2 linked regions of the Cricetulus griseus genome follow. The protein of the gene in region 1 binds, or shares a complex with, the protein of each later gene. Links are inferred from orthologs where the notes say so. Each region holds a gene or a part of one and is shown in the gene's direction. Other genes may lie near its edges. The genes, in order: Atp6v1a and Atp6v1d.

Evidence for each region.
Region 2: the proteins of Atp6v1a (region 1) and Atp6v1d are in contact, whole or in part, in a cryo-EM structure (PDB 9B8P), measured with the Rattus norvegicus proteins. The link is inferred for Cricetulus griseus from reciprocal best matches to the Homo sapiens genes ATP6V1A and ATP6V1D. Residues at the interface, in NP_001101788.1 of Rattus norvegicus: Ala366, Met368, Pro369, Ala370, Asp371, Ser372, Asp416, Ser418, Asp436, Lys438, Glu491, Gln494, Leu495, Val496; in NP_955418.1 of Rattus norvegicus: Lys4, Asp5, Arg6, Arg167, Ala171, Val175, Ile176, Arg179, Tyr186, Glu190, Arg194, Glu197, Tyr200, Arg201, Lys204, Ile205, Lys208.

What each region holds. Positions count from the first base shown.
Region 1 is NC_048597.1:46,314,048-46,325,305, forward strand, and holds the end of Atp6v1a (V-type proton ATPase catalytic subunit A), read left to right. Parts: intron 1-2,037; coding exon 2,038-2,132; intron 2,133-3,756; coding exon 3,757-3,928; intron 3,929-5,532; coding exon 5,533-5,625; 3' UTR 5,626-5,853; downstream 5,854-11,258. UniProt on the Homo sapiens protein: Catalytic subunit of the V1 complex of vacuolar(H+)-ATPase (V-ATPase), a multisubunit enzyme composed of a peripheral complex (V1) that hydrolyzes ATP and a membrane integral complex (V0) that translocates protons.
Region 2 is NC_048598.1:124,793,364-124,804,618, forward strand, and holds the end of Atp6v1d (V-type proton ATPase subunit D), read left to right. Parts: coding exon 1-31; intron 32-1,781; coding exon 1,782-1,885; intron 1,886-2,339; coding exon 2,340-2,406; coding exon of another isoform or gene 2,407-2,503; intron 2,504-3,703; coding exon 3,704-3,782; exon of another isoform or gene 3,783-3,785; intron 3,786-5,164; coding exon 5,165-5,306; 3' UTR 5,307-5,773; downstream 5,774-11,255. UniProt on the Homo sapiens protein: Subunit of the V1 complex of vacuolar(H+)-ATPase (V-ATPase), a multisubunit enzyme composed of a peripheral complex (V1) that hydrolyzes ATP and a membrane integral complex (V0) that translocates protons.

The sequences.
Region 1 (11,258 bases):
GCTCAGTGTTTAAGAGCACTTGCTCCTCTTTCAAAGGTTCCCAGCACCCACCTAGGGGCTCATAGCTCTAACTCCTGATCCAGGGGATCAGTGCCCTCTTCTGGGCTCCCTGGGTACCACAGACATATATGCATTTAAAGCACTGATGCACATGGCATTAAATGTAATAAATTTTAAAGGAAGTTTTTAGTAAATAAAATCAATGGTCGACTGTTTAAAAGATAACCACAGGGTAGAGCAGACAGATGAGAGAAGGAAGCCAGAAATATTACAGACCTGTGGATACTCCTTCAAACAGCAAGGACATACCAATCTATACTAGTTTGAATGGCAAAAGTTATACAGCTGGAGGTTGCCAAGTACTGGAATACCATTGATAGATATATCATTTGGAGTGGCCATAGTGGACAGAATGAGCTGGGTGCCTTGAGTCCTTAGGGTTTATAATAGTAGAAAATTTGATGAAAGTTTGGTGCCCTCTACCAGGGGCAGAGATACAAGGTAAAGAATGGAGGCTGTGCATACAGAATGTAATTGCCGGAGTTGCAAGAAGTGAATTGTATAGTACAGAACAGCATGGTGGATCTTAAAATCAGCTAGTCAGAGACACTGGAGAATGTTTCAAATAGTGAAAAAGTATTTTTACAAAACAAAATATACATTTTTCCATAATTTAAAACAAAAACACATCAACGATGCTTAATATTTAAGTGTGGTTGAAGAAAGAAATAGAGGTGAAAGAGATTTTTTTTTTTCTTTTTAAAGAGAGAGCTGTGAAAGGCTTGATCCTCAGCTGAGGTGCTGATGCACCTAGTCAGCCCAGAGTGCCTGGAACTTCCTGTTTGTCCTTCCTCCTCCTGTTAGTCATCCCAGCAACAATGGTATTGTCTCATGGCTGGCCTGGCAGCTGCCAACAGCAGAGCGTTTGAGGCAGTGATACTTAGAGGTTGAGGCAGCTGTGTAACTTAGCTTACTAAAAAAACAGCACTCAGATAAGCAAATACTTACCTATCCATCATTGTTCTAAACATCCTGTAATGTTAACAACAAAGTAACTATGGACTATTTAGGTTTCTGTCAATCAAGCTTAAAAACTGAATTCAAATAATAGCAACAAGGTATGGTGTAAAAAAAGTACTTTATAAAATGGGTGTGAGGCCAGGAGGTGGTGTGGTGGCACACACACAGGCGTACACACATACACGTGATGCCTTTAAAGAATAATCAGGGCTAGTTAGGTGACTCAATGGCTAAGAGCACTTGTTCTTGCAGGGTTCAGTTCCCAGTATTCACATGATGGTTCATAACCATTTGTAACTCCAGTTCCAGGATATCCATTGCCTTCTGACCCCTGGGAGTCAGGCACACTCATAATACATATACACGCAGGCAAGGCACTCATACACATAAATTAATGATTTTTTTAAAAATTAATTATCTTGCATACTCATATTCATAGTAGTATTATCTATATAGCCAAGAGTGAAAGTGATTCAAATGTCCACCTTTTAGTGAACTAGTGGACAAATACATTAGTCACCTGCTTCAGCATAGATGAATGATGAGGACATTTTAAATGAGATAAGCTAGTTATGAAGGAAATAGTATATGGTTCTACTCATATCCGATGTCTAAAGTAGGGAGAAGAGCAATGGAGTTTGTGGGCTTAGAGTTTCAGGTGTACAAGAGAAAATGTTTCATAACAACGTGATAGTGCTTTATATTACAGAGGAACCTTGAGGGGTACAACTCAGACCGGCCTAAAGCTCACTTTGCCATCTGGCCTACCTTGGAACTACTGCAGTCCTCCCTCTCAGCTGGCCAAGTGCTGAGATCATAGGCATGAGTCACCATGCATAACTTCTAGATGCGAAATTTTGTGTCATGTTCTGTTTTACCACTACTAAAAAACAACCAAAACCTTTGCATTTATCAGTGATAAGTAATTGTATGTTGATGTCTGCTTGCCAATTGATTTGTTGCTATTGATCCCACACAATGAAATAAAATTTCTTAAAGTACCCTTTTGTTTTCTAGGCTTCTTTAGCAGAGACAGATAAAATCACTCTGGAGGTAGCAAAGCTTATCAAAGATGACTTCCTGCAACAAAATGGATACACTCCTTATGACAGGTATGCTATGCTAATTTCTTTTTTTTTTTTTTATTTCCCCTTGAGACAGGGTTTCTCTTTGTAGCCCTGACTGCCCTGAAACTCACTCTGTAGACCAGACAGGCCTCTAGCTCTCAGAGATCTGCCTGCCTCTGTGTCTAGAGTGCCTGGGATAAAGGTGGGCACCACCACAACAGGCCTAATTACCTTATTTTTATAATGTATTTTTATTTGGCTGATTTGTGTGCATTGATTGGTGTTTTGCCTGCATGTATGTCTGTGTGAGGGGGTCAAATTTGGGAGTTACAGGCGTTTGAAGACTTTTTGTTGTGTTTTGGCAAAGAAGCTGCCTGCATGTTGGAAACTTTCCCATACAAGTGCATTCTGACTCAGTATATTGCTTGTTCTGTGTGTTTATAGCAGGCATCTAGTATGCCCCTTTGTCTGAATTTGCTTTGTTAGTGAAATTCTGACCATGTTTTCCCTCACACAAACATCTATAATTAGAGTGAATTATGGCATTGTTCGCAGACCTACAGGGCATCTCCTGCTGCATTCTGCTGTCCTTGCCTAAGTATTCTGTGCTTCCCTGCCTTATTTCACAAGGGTCCCAGGTTTCTTGATACAAAAGACTTGTTGAAAGTCCCTCCCACCTTCTTCCTTCTCTGCCCACTGCTTGCCTGTTTTCATTTTCTCTGCTGCTGATGTAGCTTGTTTAGAAAACCTGTTTCTTTGGAACATGAGAATTTGATCCTTTTGTCTTAAGCTAGCCTTCTCTCTCTTAAATCCTATTTGACTCCATCCAAGACTAAAAAGAGCTAGGGAACCGGCTTGATGTGCCTGATTTCAAGCCCTCCAAATCCACACAAAGCCAAGCACAGTAGCACACATCTGTGTCCTAGGATGCTGGAAACAGGACTTCTAGGAAGCTAGTGTGGCATACACAGTGGTAGACTGCCGAGACTGTCTCAGAGGAGGAGGAAGGCACGGACTGATACCCACGGTGAAAACTGAGCAAATAGGATTGACCAGAATGCCAATATGTCAGTTAGCCTCAGAAGTCTGATTTGTCCTGAACTGAAACACCACATAAAGAGAATGGGTAGAATTCTTCAGAATGACTATAATAAGATACATGGAGTTGAGTGTGTGTGTGTGTGTGTGTTTGTGTTTGCTTGCGAGCGTGCATGTGCTTGAGTGTGTATGCTTTTAAAAGGTATGGGCAGATAAAAATGAGTATACTAAAGAGAACTGAAGGCTGGGGCTTGGGGAGGGGGTGATAGCTTACCTGGGATACCCAAGGCTCTGAGTACACGGAGGAGGGAGGGATAACAAGGTAACTTTAGCAAGTTTGCAATTCTCTGCTTTCCTATTATTCATTAAACCTTGACTCTGGCCACAAGGAGTCTTACAACTCAGTTGTTTTTCCACTTGAGTTACATATTTAACTTCTTGTACCCAAACAGACTGCTGACAAGTCATTAGTGTGGCAGTACTGCTTCATTGTTTTCTGTTCAATAATTGGAAGCAGAATATATGTTTAAAGAAACTAATGGCTGGTAATTCATGAAGTTTCATATAATAAAAATATGCACTTGCTTTGTAGGTTGTTTTTGCTAATTGCCTTGTTGTTCATTTTCCCTAGGTTCTGTCCATTCTATAAGACAGTGGGGATGCTGTCCAACATGATTTCATTTTATGATATGGCCCGTAGAGCTGTTGAGACCACTGCCCAGAGTGACAATAAAATCACATGGTCCATTATCCGTGAGCACATGGGGGAGATCCTCTATAAACTTTCCTCCATGAAATTTAAGGTATAGTTTCTTTCTACTCTGACCTTTGTTGGCAAGAAGCCAACCTTCCTTCCTCCCTCCCTCCCTCTCTCCCTCCCTTCTTCACTTTCCCTTCCTTCCTGTCCTATTTGAGTTCCAAACCTGAGGTATGAAATTTGCATTTTTCTTTTTGAAGACCTATTTTCATTTGATTTATGTGTATAGATACATTTGTTGTAAGTATTGTGCCACTTGTGTGTGGTCACCTGTGGAGTACAGAGTGGCTGTTGGATTACCTGGAGCTGGTGCCTGCACACAGTGTGGGTGCTGGGAACTAAGCTTGGGTCCTCTGGAAAAGCAGCAAGTTTAACTGCTGAGCCATCTCTATGTTCCTGAAATTTGCATTTTTCATTTTATAATACTTAGGTTGTATAAAACCAGAACAATCTTCCAAGTTATGTTCAAGCAGGAATTCCAGTGGTAAAGATTGTACTATGTCATGTTTGTAGGGTTGGAAAGAAGGCTCAGCAGTTAAGAGCACTTACTGCTCTTGCAGAGAGCCTGGATTCAACTCCTAGCACCTATATGGTGGATACAACCGAAACTCTGAGGATCTGAGTTTGCTGACACCCAAGGATTACTGCACACAAAGGATGTACAGATATATACTCAGGCACACACACATACACATTAAAAAAATATTATAGTATGCCATGTCTAAAATAAATTCTAATGTGTTTGCTCTCTGTCTTAGCTACTAGTCAGCATAGAGTAACGTCCTAGCTGGACAGCAGTTACTTTAGTAAAGTGCCTATTATTTCATCTAGCCTCCACTTTCTCATAAACAAAGTTTAACCAGTTAAGTGAACTTACCAGTAGAAACCCAGATATAGGAGTGTTTTAAAATATTTGATGAGTTGGATTACATTGTGTTACTTCTTTTTTTTTTTTTTTTTTTTTTGTTCTTTGAGACAGGGTTTCTCTATTGCTTTGAAGCCTGGAACTCACTCTGTAGACCAGGCTGGCCTCAAACTCACAGAGATCCACCTGCCTCTGCCTTCCAAGTACTGGGATTAAAAGTGTGTGCCACTAACACCCGGCACATAGTGTTATTTCTAAGTCACGCATAGGCACATGTAGTAATCACCCACTGAAAACGATGCTTTGAGCATACTTGTACTGTAGAAGCACAGACCTGGAGGCCACTAAATGGCTTAGTGGGTAATGGTACTTGCTACTAAACCTAATGACCCGGATTCCGTTAAATGTGCTCTATTAGTCTCACTTTTCCGTCTTCGAGTGATGCTCCAGGCCTTCAGGAAATTCACTGAATTTTAACTTCCAGTTCTTGTATACACACATGTGTCTAGTACATGATATTACGAAGTTCCCACTAACATACACATTGCTGAGGTTTGATCATTGAGCATCAACTACAGGCAAGATTCAAAAATGAAATAATGGATTTTGTTTTGTTTCAGTCTATTTGCACATTTCCACTGTAAAAGAAAATAGGGTAGTTTTGACTCCTACCTGTGATTTACCAGTGTACCTCAACTAACCTGGTACTCCGTATTAATAAGTAACCTATCTTACATCTTGAAAATTATTTCCAATAGGTGAATTAAATTTGTATTATTTCTCAGGATCCTGTGAAAGATGGCGAGGCAAGGATCAAAGCTGACTACGCACAACTTCTTGAAGATATGCAGAACGCATTCCGTAGCCTTGAAGATTAGACTGTGTCTCTTTCCTCCTCCTCAGCAAGCTCATGTGTATATTTCCCTGAATTTCTCATCTCAAACCCTTTGCTTCCCTATTGTGCAGCTTTGAGACTAGTGCCTCTGTGTGTTATCATTTGTTTTGTTGTTTCTTTGGTAGGTCTTTAAAACAAACATTCCTTTGTGCCAGTGTTTGAAGGGGCTCCCTGACCTTCATCTGGAGTGGTGAATGTAGTGCATATGGTACACAATGGTACACAATGGCTATGCTACTGTAAACCTGTATGTAAGGTGACTACCCCTTCCCTCATCTCCATTAAACTGTAAACAGGACTACTGCATGGACTCTATTGGGAATGGAAGGCCAGATCTCTGTACCTATGGATAGGTACTGAGGAAATGACTCTGCATTTGGAGTCAGACCACTTGCAACTTAGTGTTTTGTTGAGTAACTGTTGAGTAACTGTTTTGCAAGAAATATTTCCATTTAGAAACATAAAAGATTAATGTTCCAATTATGCATAGCTTCCCCATTATCAATCAGGAGAGATTATGGGGCACTTGGGAACTATTTTGTCTTTATAACAGGCGTTTGCAAGGCTGAGCATAATAGATAAATCAGTTCCCTCTGAAAGTGTGAAAGAAAGAAAGAAAGAAAGAAAAAAAGAGCCAGGTGGTCAAACTTAAATTAACATCATCTTGTTAAAGCATATTTTATTTCACTGAGAGAAATTCAATATCAAGGACTTTTATATACTCAATTACCAAGAAATCTTTTTTTAAGTACAATTTAAAAATCATTGAAAATGTGATCCACATCATAGCCATTCTTTTCCTCAAACTTAGGTGGACAAGCTTCTCAGAGTGGCAGTGGGAACTGGCATGTCACAAATAACGTAGTAGTGCTTACAGGCAGTTTGCCCCTGTAAGAACCAGCTGTGCTGTGGTATTTCTTGGGGCCAGAGTGGCATTATTTTTACAAGGTACATGTGTCATATGTTTGTTTGCTTGATGAAATTCTGAAAAACAGTCTACCAATTGCAGAAAATATTACTTTTCTATGTTTTTATTCACTGGCTCAGAAAGCTTCTCAAAGGGTCTGTGGTCATAGTAGCATGACTGTATCCATTCTGTTGACAGAGATGAAGTTATTCTTGTATTTGACTGGTAGCAAAAACTGGGTCATAAAAAAAGGAAAAGATCAATTTTGTCTCACTGTTTCAGTATGTTTAAATAATAATTTCCATGTTTGCATAATGAGGCCCATTTCTGAGAGCTTGGAGAGCTAGCCCCCTGATCACTCTCTGTGCTGATAATGCTGACACCATACTTCCTCTTCAGGACAGGGAAGGGTATTGAACATGTCTGACACTCTCAAGTACACAAGTGTGATAACAAAGTATTTCTTTTAAGCCTTGGTATGTTATTTAAATTATTAGGTGGTACATTTCTTTTGGTCTTTTGGGTAGACATAGTCAGTCTACAGTTCAGACATAATGTGTAAATCCTTGCACAGTGCATGTCTTTACACAGTGGACTGCTGTTCCGGAAGGATGCTCTTCCAGGTCACATTTTAAAAACTGTTGAACAATGTTGACAGATGTGGATTATGCAATGACTTGTTGAGATATGGATTAATGGTGCTGCTTAATCAGTTTGCTTCCAATGTGGCTTTGTATCCAGAGGCCCCTGACTAGTGGAAATGAAAAAGATTTCAAAACCTTTCTACTTAGACCTACCAGCAAACTAGGTTTGTGATCAGAGTGAATGATCCAAAGAAACTACTTGACCAAGTTTGTTTTTTGTTGTTCTGGATTTGGGATGTGCATTATTTCTCCTTTTAAGAATATTGATGTATGAGTGTGAAGAAGCTAGAGAAATGTTGCTCAGATCTCCACTGTAACTTTCCTTTTATCCACATTGTAGAGTTTTGGATTGTTCACTGATAGTGTTTCTTTAGTAAGGATATGTTAAAATTCAGTGATCTTTTAAAAAGATTATGCAGTTCTATTTATTGTGCTGTGCCTGGACATGAGTGCAGCCAGTTAAACAAGTTTCATAAGTATTTTTCCAGTGTTAAATCTCACACCTACACCCTTTGGAAACTTCCATGCTGGACAACAAATAGAAGAGGCCATATAAATTGCCTCCTTATCCTTAAGATTTCACCGTCTTTATGTCAAGAGTAATGTATAATTATTAAAATCTATGAAAAATAAAAAGTGGATTTAAATTAACTTTACTTTCCTTTTTTCGGGGGTGGGAGGATGAGGAGGAACAAGCTCTCCTAGAAAACATTCCACTTTATATTTTGACTTAGTGTTACAATATGTCCTTTTGAAAATGTTTTACGTTATAGAGTACTTGCATCGTGAAGTTGGAGTGTGGCATTCCCAACAGTCTCCACAGCATCCTCCAATCATAGCTCACGGTGGGTGGGAAGTACAGTTTGCAGAATCTTACCCCGTTCTGACCTGCCTTAAGTGAGTGGGTTTTTTGTTTTTTTTTTTTCAAAATTAAAAGTGATCCATGGTGCTCATTTTAGTTTTTGTTCAGTTTGAACTAAGTCTTATAATGTGCAATGCAAATAATTTTAGATCCTCTGCTGCTCTCCAGTATGTTATCTAGATGTGTATATGTGGGTTTATTAGATTGGCTTGCATGGTTGGAACTGCATAGTCCAACAGTGGCCATCTGCATGCTCAACAGTCAATGTCCAGTAGCTACTCAGCCCAGGAACCTGGAAGCCTCAGTCCAAGAGGGACTGATGAAAGCACACCCAGGCCAAGGCTGACAGCCGAGAAGTTTCCTTGAGAGTCCATGTGGAAAGGCTGGGGAAGCTGGAGTCTGGCGTCTGTGGGTGATGGCAACAGCAACAGACATTCAGGGTGAGAGGAATTTGCACTAACTGGCTTCTCCCTGCCTTTGTTGCACCAAAACCCCAAGCCTATTGGATGATGCCAACCACATTTAGGGGAGGCCTTTCCCTTAGTTGGTATCCATCCATCTCTGGAAATGGCTGCACAGTCACACCAAGAAATGTGCTTTACTAATATAGGCATCTCAGGGTTCTTCAGGGGAACAATGTACATAAAGGGAGATTATTGAAGCTGGGCTGTGGTGGCGCTCGCCTTAAATCCCAGCACATGGGAGGCAGAGGCAGGCGGATCTCTATGAGTTTGAGACCAGCCTGGTCTACAAGAGCTAGTTCTAGGCTCCAAAGCTACATAGGGAAACCCTGTCTTGAAAAACCAAAAAAAAAAAAAAGTGGGGGGAGGGGCACTAATGATTTGGCTTATACAATATGCACTGAGTAGTCCAAAAATGGCTGTCTTACACTGGATATGCCTAGAATATGGTAACTGCTCAGTCCACAGGCTACAGCTTTTTCATCACAGTCTGGTGCTGAAGGTCCAAAGGTTGCTCAAGAGTCCACTAGTCCTCAGTCATGTGGAAAGGCAAGGGGACTGAATTCTCATGTCCATGAAGAATGATAGCAACAGTGACAATGGCAGCAGCAGAGTAGATGAGTTTGCCTGCACAACATGAAAATTCTACTTTGTAGATTACTTGCATGTAAAAAAGCAAACCTCTTTCCCCTTGGGCCTCACACCTGGGTCACCACTGGAACGTACTGCCCAGATCAGTTAATATAATCCAGAAAAACCTCATCGGGTATGTTAACATGCTTGACTCATTGATCCTAAAGCCAGTCAAACTGGCAACCACAGTTAACCATCACACAAGGTGTTTTAGAGTTTTCTGGGGAAACACCTGATAGCATATATATGTAGGACTTACTGTGGCTTACAGGTTATGGTCCAACTATTCAACATGGCTGTCTCCCAATGGAAAGTCCAAGATTCCAGTAGACTGTTAAGTGTGTCCACAAGGCTGGATGCCTCAGCTGGTGTTACGGATACACCAGAATACATGTGAAGGAATGAACAGAGAGTGAGAGCAAGCAGAGAGCAAGCGCTTCCTTCAGCCATGCACTTTATGCAATAGACTGCCACCAGGTGTGGCCCACGTGGAAGGGGGTCTTCCCACCTCAAAGGATCCAACCCAGAAAAATCCCTGACAGGGGTACCGAGCCACTTGCCTTTTAGTTAATTCCAGATGTAGTCAAGTTGATAATCAAGAATAGTCATCGGATTAGAATGTATGTTATTTCTTGAACATGTCAGTTTTTAACAGTTTCTGAAGGAACGAAGCAACATGGATCGGACAACACAGAATTGCTACTGATTGTCAAGTTTACAGAGAGGAATGCTTAAAAATTCATGGGCAGGCCTATTCATTAGAATGGGTTATTTTTAGTCAGCTAGATAATATCCCAATGTCTTCAGTGTGTTAATTTTAATGTATCACAACAATTGTTAGAGTATAAATGAAGGAACCAGTTTTCTCAAGTGAGTGGTAAATGATTCTGAAGTTGACTTGAGAGTTCGTTTCCCCTGGAAGTTGGCTCTGAAAGGAGTATTTGAGTTTTGCTTTTCCAGGAAACACCAGTGAGGAGTGGGCCCAAAATGAGGACAGAATAGAAAAAACTAATTAGTCATTGTCAAGCAAGTTAACAAACCTCAGCCTATGCCAACACAGTACTGCTGGGGAATTCAGGGAACTAGAGGAAGACACACTTCTCAGGTATCCACCAAGTGTGCAAGGAGGCCGAGTACATCAGTTAGAGGTGACAGCCAGTCCCTGCCAGTCTTCCACTGAGTGTTGTTCCCTCAAAGACAAAGAATCGCTGCCTATAAAATGCAGTTGTGTATAGTCACACAGAAATAAATGAGACTCAACATGACAGGCATGACTCTTACAACCATAATATTTAGAGAAGCAGAGCAAAAAAAATTCCCAATTTATTATATAAAATTCAAAGCCAAAATCTGAGGTCAGGATAGCAGCTGCACACACTGAGAAAAGAGGGAAATAACAGAAATGTCTCAAAGAGGGTTTCAGGGTTTTAGTGATATTCCGGGTACTGCCAGCAAATGAATGTTAACTTAATAAATATTCTTGTATTGCATGTACCGAGACCTAATAGTTTTTGTGTTTGTCTCAATTAATATACATACTAGTAACATTATTGATAGACTGAGCAGGTTGTTTATTTTATATAATTAGGAATATATGTATATACATATGTGTATAGAATAATTAATGAAAAAAAAAAGGCCATAAATTTGCAAGAGCAAGAAGGGGTGTTTGGGGGGATAAAAGGGAAGGGGATAAAAGCTACACAGAGAAACCCTGTCTGGAAAAACCAAAAAAAAAAAAAAAAACCTTAATAGATGGCTTAGCAGTTAACTTTTACTCTTGCAGAGAGCCTGGGATTGCTAGCCAGCATCCATATGGTGGTTTATAATCATCTGCAATCCCAGTTCCAAGGAATCCAACACTCTCTTCTGACTTTGCGCAAGCACCAGCCACATACGTGGTACACAATCACACATGCAGGTGAAATCAGACACAGAAATTAGTTTAAAAAGAAGAAAACAGAAAATACTATCAGAGGCAGATTAAAAGACCCTTGTCATGGAGACCTGACAGTCTGAGTTTGATCCACAGAGCCACATAAAGGTGGAAGAGAACTGACTATGTATGCATTGACCTTGAAGGGATCTGCTCCCCTTTTGGCAGCCATA
Region 2 (11,255 bases), on another chromosome or scaffold:
GTGTTTGAACATTACCATGAAGGAACTGATAGTAAGTGTGACTATCTTAAGATATATGCTTGTAACTGAGAAATACAGTTGTTAGTCACTTGCTATTTAAAAATATGAGGCTTTGTCTTTTATTACCAATTCACTAACTAGACATCTGTGTTATCTCTTTGCTTAAACTGTACTCATCATGGATTGTTTATCATTTCTGGTTTGTGTCTTTTAAAAGTAGAATAAAACCTTACATCCTATGATGCATTCTGAATGCTGGATCTTTCTAGATAGTTTTAGCTAGCTCCAAGCTTTTTTGAAATTCTTCCTTTCTTAATTTGGCAGCATTTGTGAGGATAGTTAACACTTGTTTAGTCTTCTCAGAGTGAAATAGTTAACCTTTTTCCATATAAAAATATTTTTCTGCCACTTATAATTCATTGGTTCATGAACTTTTTCACTGAAATGTACAGAATGTTAATTGTGGGTCACATAAAGGAATAGTCATCTGTACAGAAACTTTCCTTGTACTAATGACATTGACTACTGTTAGCTAATTTGTCAAGCTGTGAAGTGGTTAACTTTCCCCTCTAGGGCTAATGGTATAGCTCTGTGGTAAAGGCTCGTCTAGTGTGTTTACTTCTCTCTTCTCTCCTTACAGTTACTCTAGTAGCCTTGTAAATACCCAAGTTCTGTTTAGTATGTTATAGTGTTAGATCCCCGAAAACTCAAGTATTCGGGGTCCCAAGCCATGTTCGCGGTCACCCCAATCACCAGGCGGATTCGAGAGCTTGCTGCAAACTGCACGAGGCTTTATTGTAATTTAACGAGCTAACCCCATGTTAGCTCTGGTCTTTCACTCACCCGCCATGGCGGACAGCTAGAAAAGATGGCTTGAAGCTGCTGCGCATAGATCTTTATAGGGCAGCGTAAGGGGAGTGTCTAGGGGTATGCACAGGCTCACGATTGGTGTGCCTCCAGGCTTGGAGGGCTTGCCCTGTGTTGATTGGTCAACTGGTTGTTATGGCCCATAGGCCCTCCCAGGGTGGTTGCTATGCTCTCTACGTCATTGCTGTGCGCTTGTCCGTAAAGCACACCCAGGGTCGTAAAGCATAGCGCCACCAGCTGACTTCTGATTGGCTCCTTGTCACGAGACAGGCATCTGACTTTCTAGTGACTAGGTCAAGGTCATAGAAGCACATGTTCAGCTGTTATGGCTGCCAAAAGGGAAGCCAGTTCCTTCAATAGAATGTTGTCATCTAAGCATGCAGCCATTCCAATGTCAGTCAGAGACTCTGTGGTGACCTGCAAGAGACCCTTAAGATGGGCTCATTAACCTTCCTTAGAAGAGAAGGTAGGTCATGAGATCCTTAGCTGAGATTCTAATCAGCCCTTCATTCATTTCTTTTGTAGCTGCACATGGTCTCTGGAGGTGCTAGAATATATAGAACATAAAAGACTAGCTAAAGGTGGGGGGGCTCGGCTATGGGGATGTTAACCATGCTAGGAGGAGACTTTTCTGTGAGGCACCTTTTGGGGTCATCATATTTCCATACTTAACTCATACATTATAATATAAGCCCAATAAACTCATTGGTTCACCAAGCTAGACTTAATGCAGTTGTTACCTTGGTCTGCTCATGTTAACCTGGAATGGGTATTTTGTGTTTGGCATTTGCATTTAATAGGAGTTAGTGAATTTGTTTTTCCATGTTTGTATTATTCTGAATCATCTTCCTTTTGGGAATTCATAGAGGATTATTTACTCCCTAATTAAAAATGTTGTCTCATGGCTCTTTCAGGTTATGAATTGACTGGTTTAGCTAGAGGTGGGGAACAGCTGGCCAAACTGAAGAGGAATTATGCCAAAGCAGTGGAACTACTGGTGGAGCTAGCTTCACTGCAGGTGTGTTGCAACAGGGAGCTCTCCAGCTTGGCTTCTCACAGTCACGTGGGCAACATTGGGGCTTGTGTTGGAGCACACTCAACTCAGATGACCCTTTGTGTGAAACAAGCCTAAACATCTGACTTCTGAAGTGGCCAGCGGCTTCAGCTCATCTGTCTTTGCTCTTTATTAGTAAAGTGCATACGTGGTGCTCCACTCCAAGGAGTGCTGTGACATGGTTCCTTTATGTGTATGTGTATGTGGTTCATTATGAGTGAATGCTTCTCTGTAGAAACTGCATTAGCTCTATAGAAATCGCATGTGCATTTTCTGTTTCTAAGGCAGGCTGAAAAAGAGTTAATTGTTTCTGGGTTCCCAAATGTTTTTTATGAGTGCAGTCTGAGTGGGGTCAAGTGAACAGGCGTGACTGATCATGGAGATGTGCGCTTGTCATTAATTTGTCCTTTTATTTTAGACTTCCTTTGTTACTCTGGATGAAGCCATTAAGATAACGAACAGGCGTGTAAATGCCATTGAGCATGGTGAGTCAAAGCTGCTGGGAAGCTCTTTGTTCCTCCCCCGCCCCGTCCACTTGTTAGACAGCTGCCAGGACTCAGGCCCAGCACTCCAGATTGAGAGGTGAGATGTTCCCCTGCCACAGTGGAGAGACAAATGTGTCCGTCAGTGAGAAAGCACAGAGATGCACCCTGAGGGAGTACCAGGTCAGAATGCCATACACCTCCCGTCGTTCATGCAGTTAGCAAAGTAGAAGTTCTATTCCTTAGGAGCCTTAGTGCTTTCTTAAGTTCTGTCCATTGGATGAGTGATTGTTTTGTTTTTTAACACATTAAATCTTTAAATCTCTCCTTTAGGCTATTGTCTCATTTTACTACGTTTATTTTCTTTTATCCCATTATTTTAAAAATACAACTATGTTAACAATGTTCTTGGCTGAAGAACTCAGTTTCTTTGAAAGAAATGTTTATTTAGCCTTAGGTAAGAGAGGAACAAGAACCGAAGCAAAGAAAGTCCTTAGTCCTTCAGTTGATGCCCTGATAGTATTATGCCACCTGAAAATACAGATGGCATGTTACTTGGTGGTGCCTCAGAGCAGGCTTGGCAAATACTGTACCACTGAGCTACACCATTACCCCAGAAACACAGTTCTTGTCTGCTTTTTAGTGTCAGTCTTTGTTTCATTGAACTTCCATCAAAACAAAATGGGTAAGGATAATAGTTCTCAACTTCAGAGAGCTCACATTACAGGAGGACGATAGGAACACTGATATGTAAAGCAGAGAGCGGAGTGACATATATAATGGTCACAGCATTTCTCTATCTTTCTCTCTCTCTCTCTGAGACAAAGTTTCTCTGTGTGTCTTTGGAGCCTATCCTGGAACTCACTTTGTAGACCAGGCTGGCCTCGAGATCCGCCTGCCTCTACCTCCCGAGCACTGGGATTAAAGGTGTGTTCCACCACTGCCTGGCTCTTCCTCTCAGTTTTTAGCCATGGTATTTTAGTGTATTTAAGCTAATGCCTGTGACTTATTGTTACTTGTTCAGGTATACTTAGTATCCAGTGTTACATCTGTTTTGGCCCACTATTGGTATCTGTATGTAGAAAAGATACTGGAAGGGTACATACCAAAATAATTTCAAGGTAATTTTATTTGGCTGGACTACATCTGATTTTAATTTTTTGTGTTTTTTATTTTCCAAGTTCTCTGCATTAAGTGTATGTTATTTCTACAATTAGAAAATAATTACTGTACAGCTAAATACTGGTAGTTTTTTGAAAGGGCATTTAAGTTCTCACATATGTATATTTTTAAACTCTAGTTATCATTCCCCGGATTGAACGCACCCTTGCCTATATTATCACAGAGCTGGATGAGAGAGAGCGAGAAGAATTCTATAGGTTTGTTGAATTGGCACTTAATGGTTTTGTTTTTGTTTTCCCCATACACTACAATCTGGGTTTGCTCAGTGACTAATGCACTTGCATAAGCGGTTTATTTTATTCTGTTGAATAAAAACAAGAAATTAATATTGGGCATGTGGTGCTTGCTTATAATCTCAGAACTCAGAAGACAAGACTGTAAGCTGAAAGCTAGCCTGGGCTATATCAAAACATATACTCTGAGAACATCAAACTGAAAGAAGAAATAACAGCTGTCCCCTTTTCCTGCATTTTGATCTTCCATTTGAGTTTATCTTGGTTAACAGTTACAGTCCAAAAATGTTACATGAGAAATTAAAGACCAAGTATGTAGATTTTCAATTGGATGCTCTTCCAAGTGTCATGAGACATCAAGGTGCTATGCTATTTATTAGATGAAGCATTATTTCAGCTAACATAACCACCCTGTACACTACCTGCTGTCAATCACTTGGTAGTTGTCATCAGAGCAGCTGTCAGCTGTCACATTACTGTGGTTCTTGTATTCACAGAGGCTGTGTTTTCCTTAAGAGGTGAAAATTTTTGACTTAAAACAAAAACGCTAATCCCTTACTGTACTTAATTTTTAAGTTAAACTTTACCAATTTTTAATCACACTTCCCTTCTACTAAGGGTAGACTATGTACGAAGAAGCATACTATGCAAACTTGGTTTCAGATCTTCAGGTCTCAGAGCATATCCACGGCAGAGTGGGGCAACCGTATTTCCAAAGGTGGTGGAGATCCGTATCATGTTTTGCACATAGATCAAACATGGCACCATCAAAAATTTATGCCTTTTAGAAAAACTAGTAAGATTATTCTTTAAAACAAAAGGAGTTGAGTGTCTCCTACATAAAACCTGAGATGAGAAATGAATCGAGCAAGCCACACACTGCACATTGAATACTTGGGCATTCCCAATTAATGAATCACACTGCACATTATGTGGTGAGAAAAACGACGCCCACAGCTTGTTTGTGAAGATTTAGAGCGGTGGGGTAAATACTAAACTAAGTTTGCATAAGTGGAGGGTGGGTAGGTGAGAGGAACGTTCAGGGCAGCAGGCTGGTCTCAGATCTTGAAACAGCTCAGTGTGACATAGAATTGTAGTTACCATTCATTTTCAGGGTTGTAGTGATCCAGAATCTGTACCATTACAGGATGGATTTCAAGTTTTATTCAATGTAGTCTAGGGTATCTGCAATCAGATATTAATAGCTATTTCCCTCAAACATTTTAAGATGACAGAAAATGAAAGTCAGATTCTAATTGTCCCATGTTTATTGCCTAGTTACAAATCCTGAAGACATTCAGTTCCTTTGAACTGAAAACAGCATTTTCAAAGTCCCCTTCTTGCAGGTTAAAGAAAATACAGGAGAAGAAAAAGATTATCAAGGAAAAATTCGAGAAGGAGTTGGAGTATCGGAGAGCAGCTGGAGAAGTGATGGAGCCTGCCAACCTGCTGGCTGAGGAGAAGGACGAGGACCTGCTGTTCGAGTAACGGCCCCTTTGCTCCCTCAGACCCAGCACCAGCTCCGTGTTAACCCAGTGTATAGGTTCGGTATATGTGGCTATTTATTTTGGCATAAGAATTCCCTGGCTTTAAGATTTATCGGGATGTCCTGTAAGACTATTTCTCCTGCATTGTGATTCAGCAACCAGTTATCACAGTTGAATGAGATGTGTAAAACTTGCCCAGTAACTTACATAATTTCCTCTGTGAAAGCGTCTTAGGATTCTATTTACAGTAGCTTCACTGGTACTTACACACATTCGTGGTTTCAGCCAACTGCTGGTGCAGCTTTTGTCCTACCCACTTGCAAACCATGGCACTGTGCAGCCACTGTTGTGTTACTGTGGTCGCAGCTCTACATCTATTTTTCTTTGCACGCTAAGTCTGTCTGTAATGGAAGCAGTTCTGCCCATTTAAATGTGACTTATGAACAGAGTAAAACGATTTTAAAAACATGTTGTTTCTCTTTCTTTTTACTAAGAATGGTGATTATGCCTTGTCGTGACCCAGCATATCTCAGCCTTAGTCCATGAGGTTCTACCTGAGTGGGGGTGTGTGGACCTGGAAGCTTCGCGGAACCCAATGGCGATAAAGACCAAACACAGGCATCTTGTCATCTTCAGAGAGCTCTCAGTTCCATGTTGTGGAACTGGAGTCATTTCTTTATTAGTCATCTTTTCTGGTGTTTCTTAACCATCCTGCTAATACTACGAGGCAGCCATTTCTCTCTTTGTTTTCTCGCTGTCCTGGCCGCTCGCCCCTTGGCTCCTAACCTGTCCTCCCAAGTTACTCATACCTCTAGCTCCTCTGCCCAGGTGAGGGCCTATTCAGATGCTTAGGCACATACAGATGCAAATTAGGAGGCATATCACCTTAGGCCATGGTAAACAGTAACAGCCTAGTGTTAATTAACAATACAATGGTGACCCGGTCCCCCACCATGCCTTTAGTTTCAGATAAGTGACCCTACTGGCACTCACATCTTTTCCCAGAGACATGTAGCTACGGGCCTTTTCTTATTCCCTATCTCAGTGTGTCACTAGGTTTATTTGAGACAGTTACTATATTTTGGAATACTAATAAGTGACTGCCAGTGCTAAATAAGACTTCATAATTATTTCCCTCTAATCTAAGAATGAGACTAATTCTTACTTTGGACTAATCAGAATACTTTTTGCTGTTTTAGAAGCAATAACAGTTTGTTCTCTTTTATGAAGATGAGATGCCAAAGTGGACCAGGAGTGTCTTGAATTTTCAGTATTGTCTGATTTGTCTTGATTATCTGATTACTCAGACTTTAATGCAGCCAGTTCCAGGACTCTGGGCTTGACTGGGCATGGTACAGATCTTAGTTATGAGAGTGACACTAGCATTAATATAATCTGATAACTGCTATCACTAGGTAGACTTTTAAAGATGTTAAATGATTTTTGTAGATATTTAGGATTATTTACCAGGTACTTAGTGTTTTATGTGTTTATGTTCTCAAAATGACCAAATAAGTTTTTTGTTTTTGTTTAAGTGGCCCTAGGGAGTGAACCCAGAGCTTCATGCTAAGGAAGCATTTATGTTAAGTCACCACACCAGTCTAAAAATAAGTATTTTAGCCCATTCCATGGAATAAAGATTGAGACACATAGGAGCTTGAATAATTGCTTTTAAATTAAAAAGCTGGAAAATGGTGTTGATGAACCTAAGTTTAAGTCCAAATAGTCTAATATATAGTATTTAGCTGGGTAGTGATGGTACACGCCTTTAATCCCAGCACTCGGGAGGCAGAGTAACAAGATATCACCACAAAAATGTATTAATTTGTTTTGTTTATAGGTATGTAAAGGTGGAGAAATTTGTGTACCACAGTTCACACAAGTCAGCTTTTCCTTTTACCATATGGGTCCCAGGATGGAACTCAAGCTGTGGGACCTGGGGTCAGGCACCTTCCATTGAGCCATCTCAGTGATCCTACCTTCAGATGTTCACACTTAACTTTTTGTCTTTTTTGGTGTGTGCATGTACATGCTTGCATGTGCACATGGAGGCCAGAAGACAACCTTGGGAACTATTTCTAAGGACCTGCCTACCTTGTTTGTTTGCTTGCTAGGCTAGCCTAGCAGGTTAGCGAGCCCCAGGGAACTATCTCTGTCTTTCCCATGCTTGGTTTATAAGCATGTACTACCATGCTGCTTTTTTTCTACATGGGTTCTTGGCAGGGTATTGAACTCAGAGTCTTTTGGCAAACTCTTCAGTAATCTTTCAGCCCACATTCATTTTATTCTTCTTGTTTCTTCCATATTTAAGGTAGCCTGTCTCAGAGAAGCTGATTTGTACGAAACCAGATGTAGCTCATAGGAGAAAATGTCAGGTTCAGAGTCAGTTCAGTACCCAAGTTCATAGCTGGGTAACATTGAACTGTCCAGCAATCAACTTCCCAGTATCTTGGTGAGGTGTAAACTGTACTGTTTCAGTATGCCTGTGGAGAAATTGGGCGGCTTATATAGGTCAAAGGGTACAGGTGGAATGAATACAAGGGGAATGATCTCAGAGGCATAATCCTTGAGCACTGGGCACTGCTTTTAGTTTGAATTTTAAGAAAAACATTGGACCAAAGGAATTTCGGTTTCTCATGCAGCATCAGCATCAGTAAAGCTCTGGTACTTAACTGGGCATGCTTCAACTGTCCACAGATTGACAGGTGTGTTCCTTTTGAAATAGGATCTTATGTTCCAAGGTGGTCTGGAACTCCTGCATGCTGGAATTGTAGACATGCACCATCAGGTTCAGCTAAGATTTTAGAGGACTTTATGGCTTTATGTTAAAAAGTCAAGATTACATAGTGGGTAAATGTTGGGTTTGGCTAGGAGTGAGATGGTCCAAAGGGGACAGATCAGGAATAGAAAAGAAAGCTGGAGTACATTGTTAGACCCCCGGGAGATCAGGCCTCCAGAATCTCAGCCCAGGACTGCAGCCACCCCAATCACCATGCGGAGGCAGAAACTTGATGCAAACAGCACGAGGCTTTATTATAGTTGTTAAACGAGCTAACCCCATGTTAGCTCGGGTCTTTCATTCACTAGCCATGGCAGATGGCTAGAAAAGACAGCTCGAAGCGTCTACATAGAGATCTTATTGGGCAGCATAAGGGGAGTGTCTAGGGGTATGCACAGGCTCAGGATTGGTGTGCCTCCAGGCTTGGAGGGCTTGCCCTGTGTCGATTGGTCAACTGGTTGTTATGGCCCGTAGGCCCTCCCAGGGTGGTTGCTATGCTCTGTGTGTCATTGCTGTGCACTTATCCGTAAAGCACACCCAGAACCGTAAAGCATAGCACCACCAGCTAACTTCTGATTGGTTCCTTGCCACCAGGCAGGCATCTGACCTCCTAGTGACTAAAGCAAGGTCAGACAAGCACGTGTTCGGCTGTTAGGCTGCCGTGTTTATGATTTGTGATCTTTGGGAGAAATGAAGTATGTGCCAACAACTCAAATATTCTCAAATCCCTGGCTACCCCAAAAAGAATTTGCCTGTTAATACCTCTTCTCTCTGAAAAGTTTTGTTTTTTCCAGCTCTGAGTTGGCTATTTTGTCCCTTCCTTCCTTCCTTCCTTCCTTCCTTCCTTCCTTCCTTCCTTCCTTCCTTCCTTCCTTCCTTCCTTCCTTCCTTCCTTCCTTTTTTGAGACAGGGTTTCTCTGTGTAGCTTTGGAGCTTGTCCTGGAACTTGTTCTGTAGACCAAGCTGGCCTCTGCCTCCCAAGGGCTGGGATTAAAGGCGTGCGCCGCCGCCGCCACCACCACCCCGTTGAGTTGACTATTTTCAATAGTTTTAGCTTAAAGGCTAGGTGTAGTGGCCAGCCTGGTTTACATAGTGAGTTCCAGTACAGCCAGGACTCTGTAGAAAGACCCTGTCTCATAAAAACAAGTTTCTTGTTTGTTCCAACCAATAAAGAAATAGGACTGACCATCTATGCCATTAAAGGACAACCCATGACAAATTACATTCTATTTGTATTCCACTCAGAGATTCCAGCAGTGTTGCTTCTGACAAACCCTTGGAAGAGGAGTGGTCTATATTTGCACAAACCTTAGATAGGAACATAATAAAAGAAAGTATTTATGGCTTCTTTGATTTGAAATAGTTTTGCTTTTTATTTTTACAATACAATGTGCAGTAAGACATCTCAAGATAACAAGTAGAGAAACAAGACAGTACAAAGGGAGATCAACAACGAATGCCAACGTAATTACCTTCATTAAGGATGAATCCCTGTTTAATATTTTCTACACATTCACAAAAATTACATTCAAATCATTCCTTGTCAGTATTTACTCCTTAGGCCATGAGAGAAGGAAAACAATCCACACACTAGATTTCCATAGAAAACTAATCTGGACTAGTCTAAATACTAATGTCCTATTTGTTCTGACATAGGGAAATTCAAGAAATGATGGTTCTTCCTTGTTTGGGTTTCCCGAGAACATGTCATTAGCTGATATTGTCTACTTTGTTTCTGAGACAGGATCTCATGTGGCTGATGGTAACTGTGAGCTGCTGTCCCTTCTGCTTCCACTTTCAAAGCTCTGGGACTACAGCTATGAACCCCATGTTGGTTTTCTGTGGTGTTGGGGATCTAGACAGGGCTTTGTGAATGCTAGGTAGTACTCTACCAACTGAGCTATGTTCCTGCCAACCACAATATCATTTCTGAGGCTTCCCTAGCACTGCAGTTTCCAATCAGAACCACAGAGGGATAGGGAATTGAACTGGCCCTCACACTGTACAATTACAGTTATAACAGAGCTTTTTTTTTCTTTTTTTTTTTAAGCACAGCTAAACTTTTCACTGTTCAGGGACTATTATTGAGCATTATTAGATTCATAATCACTAGGATTTAGAAAATTTCAGGATATATACTATCCATGTATGGATATGAGTAAAGTTAGGATCTTACTGACTTTGAAAAATCTCAGTCTAAAAGAATCCATGGTAGCATGGTATGTGCCTTTATAGGCCATGTGTTTGAGTCTTGATCCACATGGCCCCACTGTCACCAGTGGCAGTGACATTACTTAAAATTTACTCAAATCCAATCATCGTTTTGCTTTGTTTTGTTTTGTTTTTTTCCTTTCTTTCTTTGAGACAGAGTCTCATGTAGCTCTGGCCAGCCTTGAACTCTAGATCTTCCCGCTGGGGTTTCAGGTGTGCATCAAGTCTCTGTTAGTCAGAGCTCTACTGACCATAGACTACCATTCATTCCTGAGGAGAAAACACAGTGGAAAACTGAGAAGATTTAATCGTTAAGTGCTAAGTAAATTGACCTTCAATGTTGACAAGGGTGTGGACTTGTCATTTTTCCTGCTGTAAACTGGGAGTGTTCAGACTGTGTAGCATTCCTTCCCTTGACCCAAGTACATTCCTTTTTTCCTAAGGAAAATTGTTTTTAAAATGTTTCTAAATAGACACACTTGCCAGCCAACTACAAAAGCCATGCAAAAACTGAACATAAAAAGATATCACAAACTCTAATTTGTTTCAGTAAGATTATCTAGAAGAGAAATCAGACACATAAACGTCACTGACAAGACATTAACAGCTGCTTATGCTAAGTCACAATTCAGTATCATTCCAGTGTTTAGCTTTGGGAACATGAAATGCTGTAGCTAATTAAGATCAAGACATTCACATTTGAGGTTCGTTGTTACACATTACAGTTTCCTTAAAGGCTTGAAAAGACTACAAGTTAACTTGCATGCAGACTTGTAGACTCTGCATTTAAAGCTGTAGTTGTAGAAACGGTACAAAAATTGTATTAGTGCCAACATTTAAGATTTAGCAAGCTGTTGTACTCCGGTCCCAAGGTAGACCATGTTAGGACAAAAACTTGTCTGTAGATGCTTAAATAAACTTTCCTCCATTGTCATTTTCTAAATGCTCAATGACTCTTAA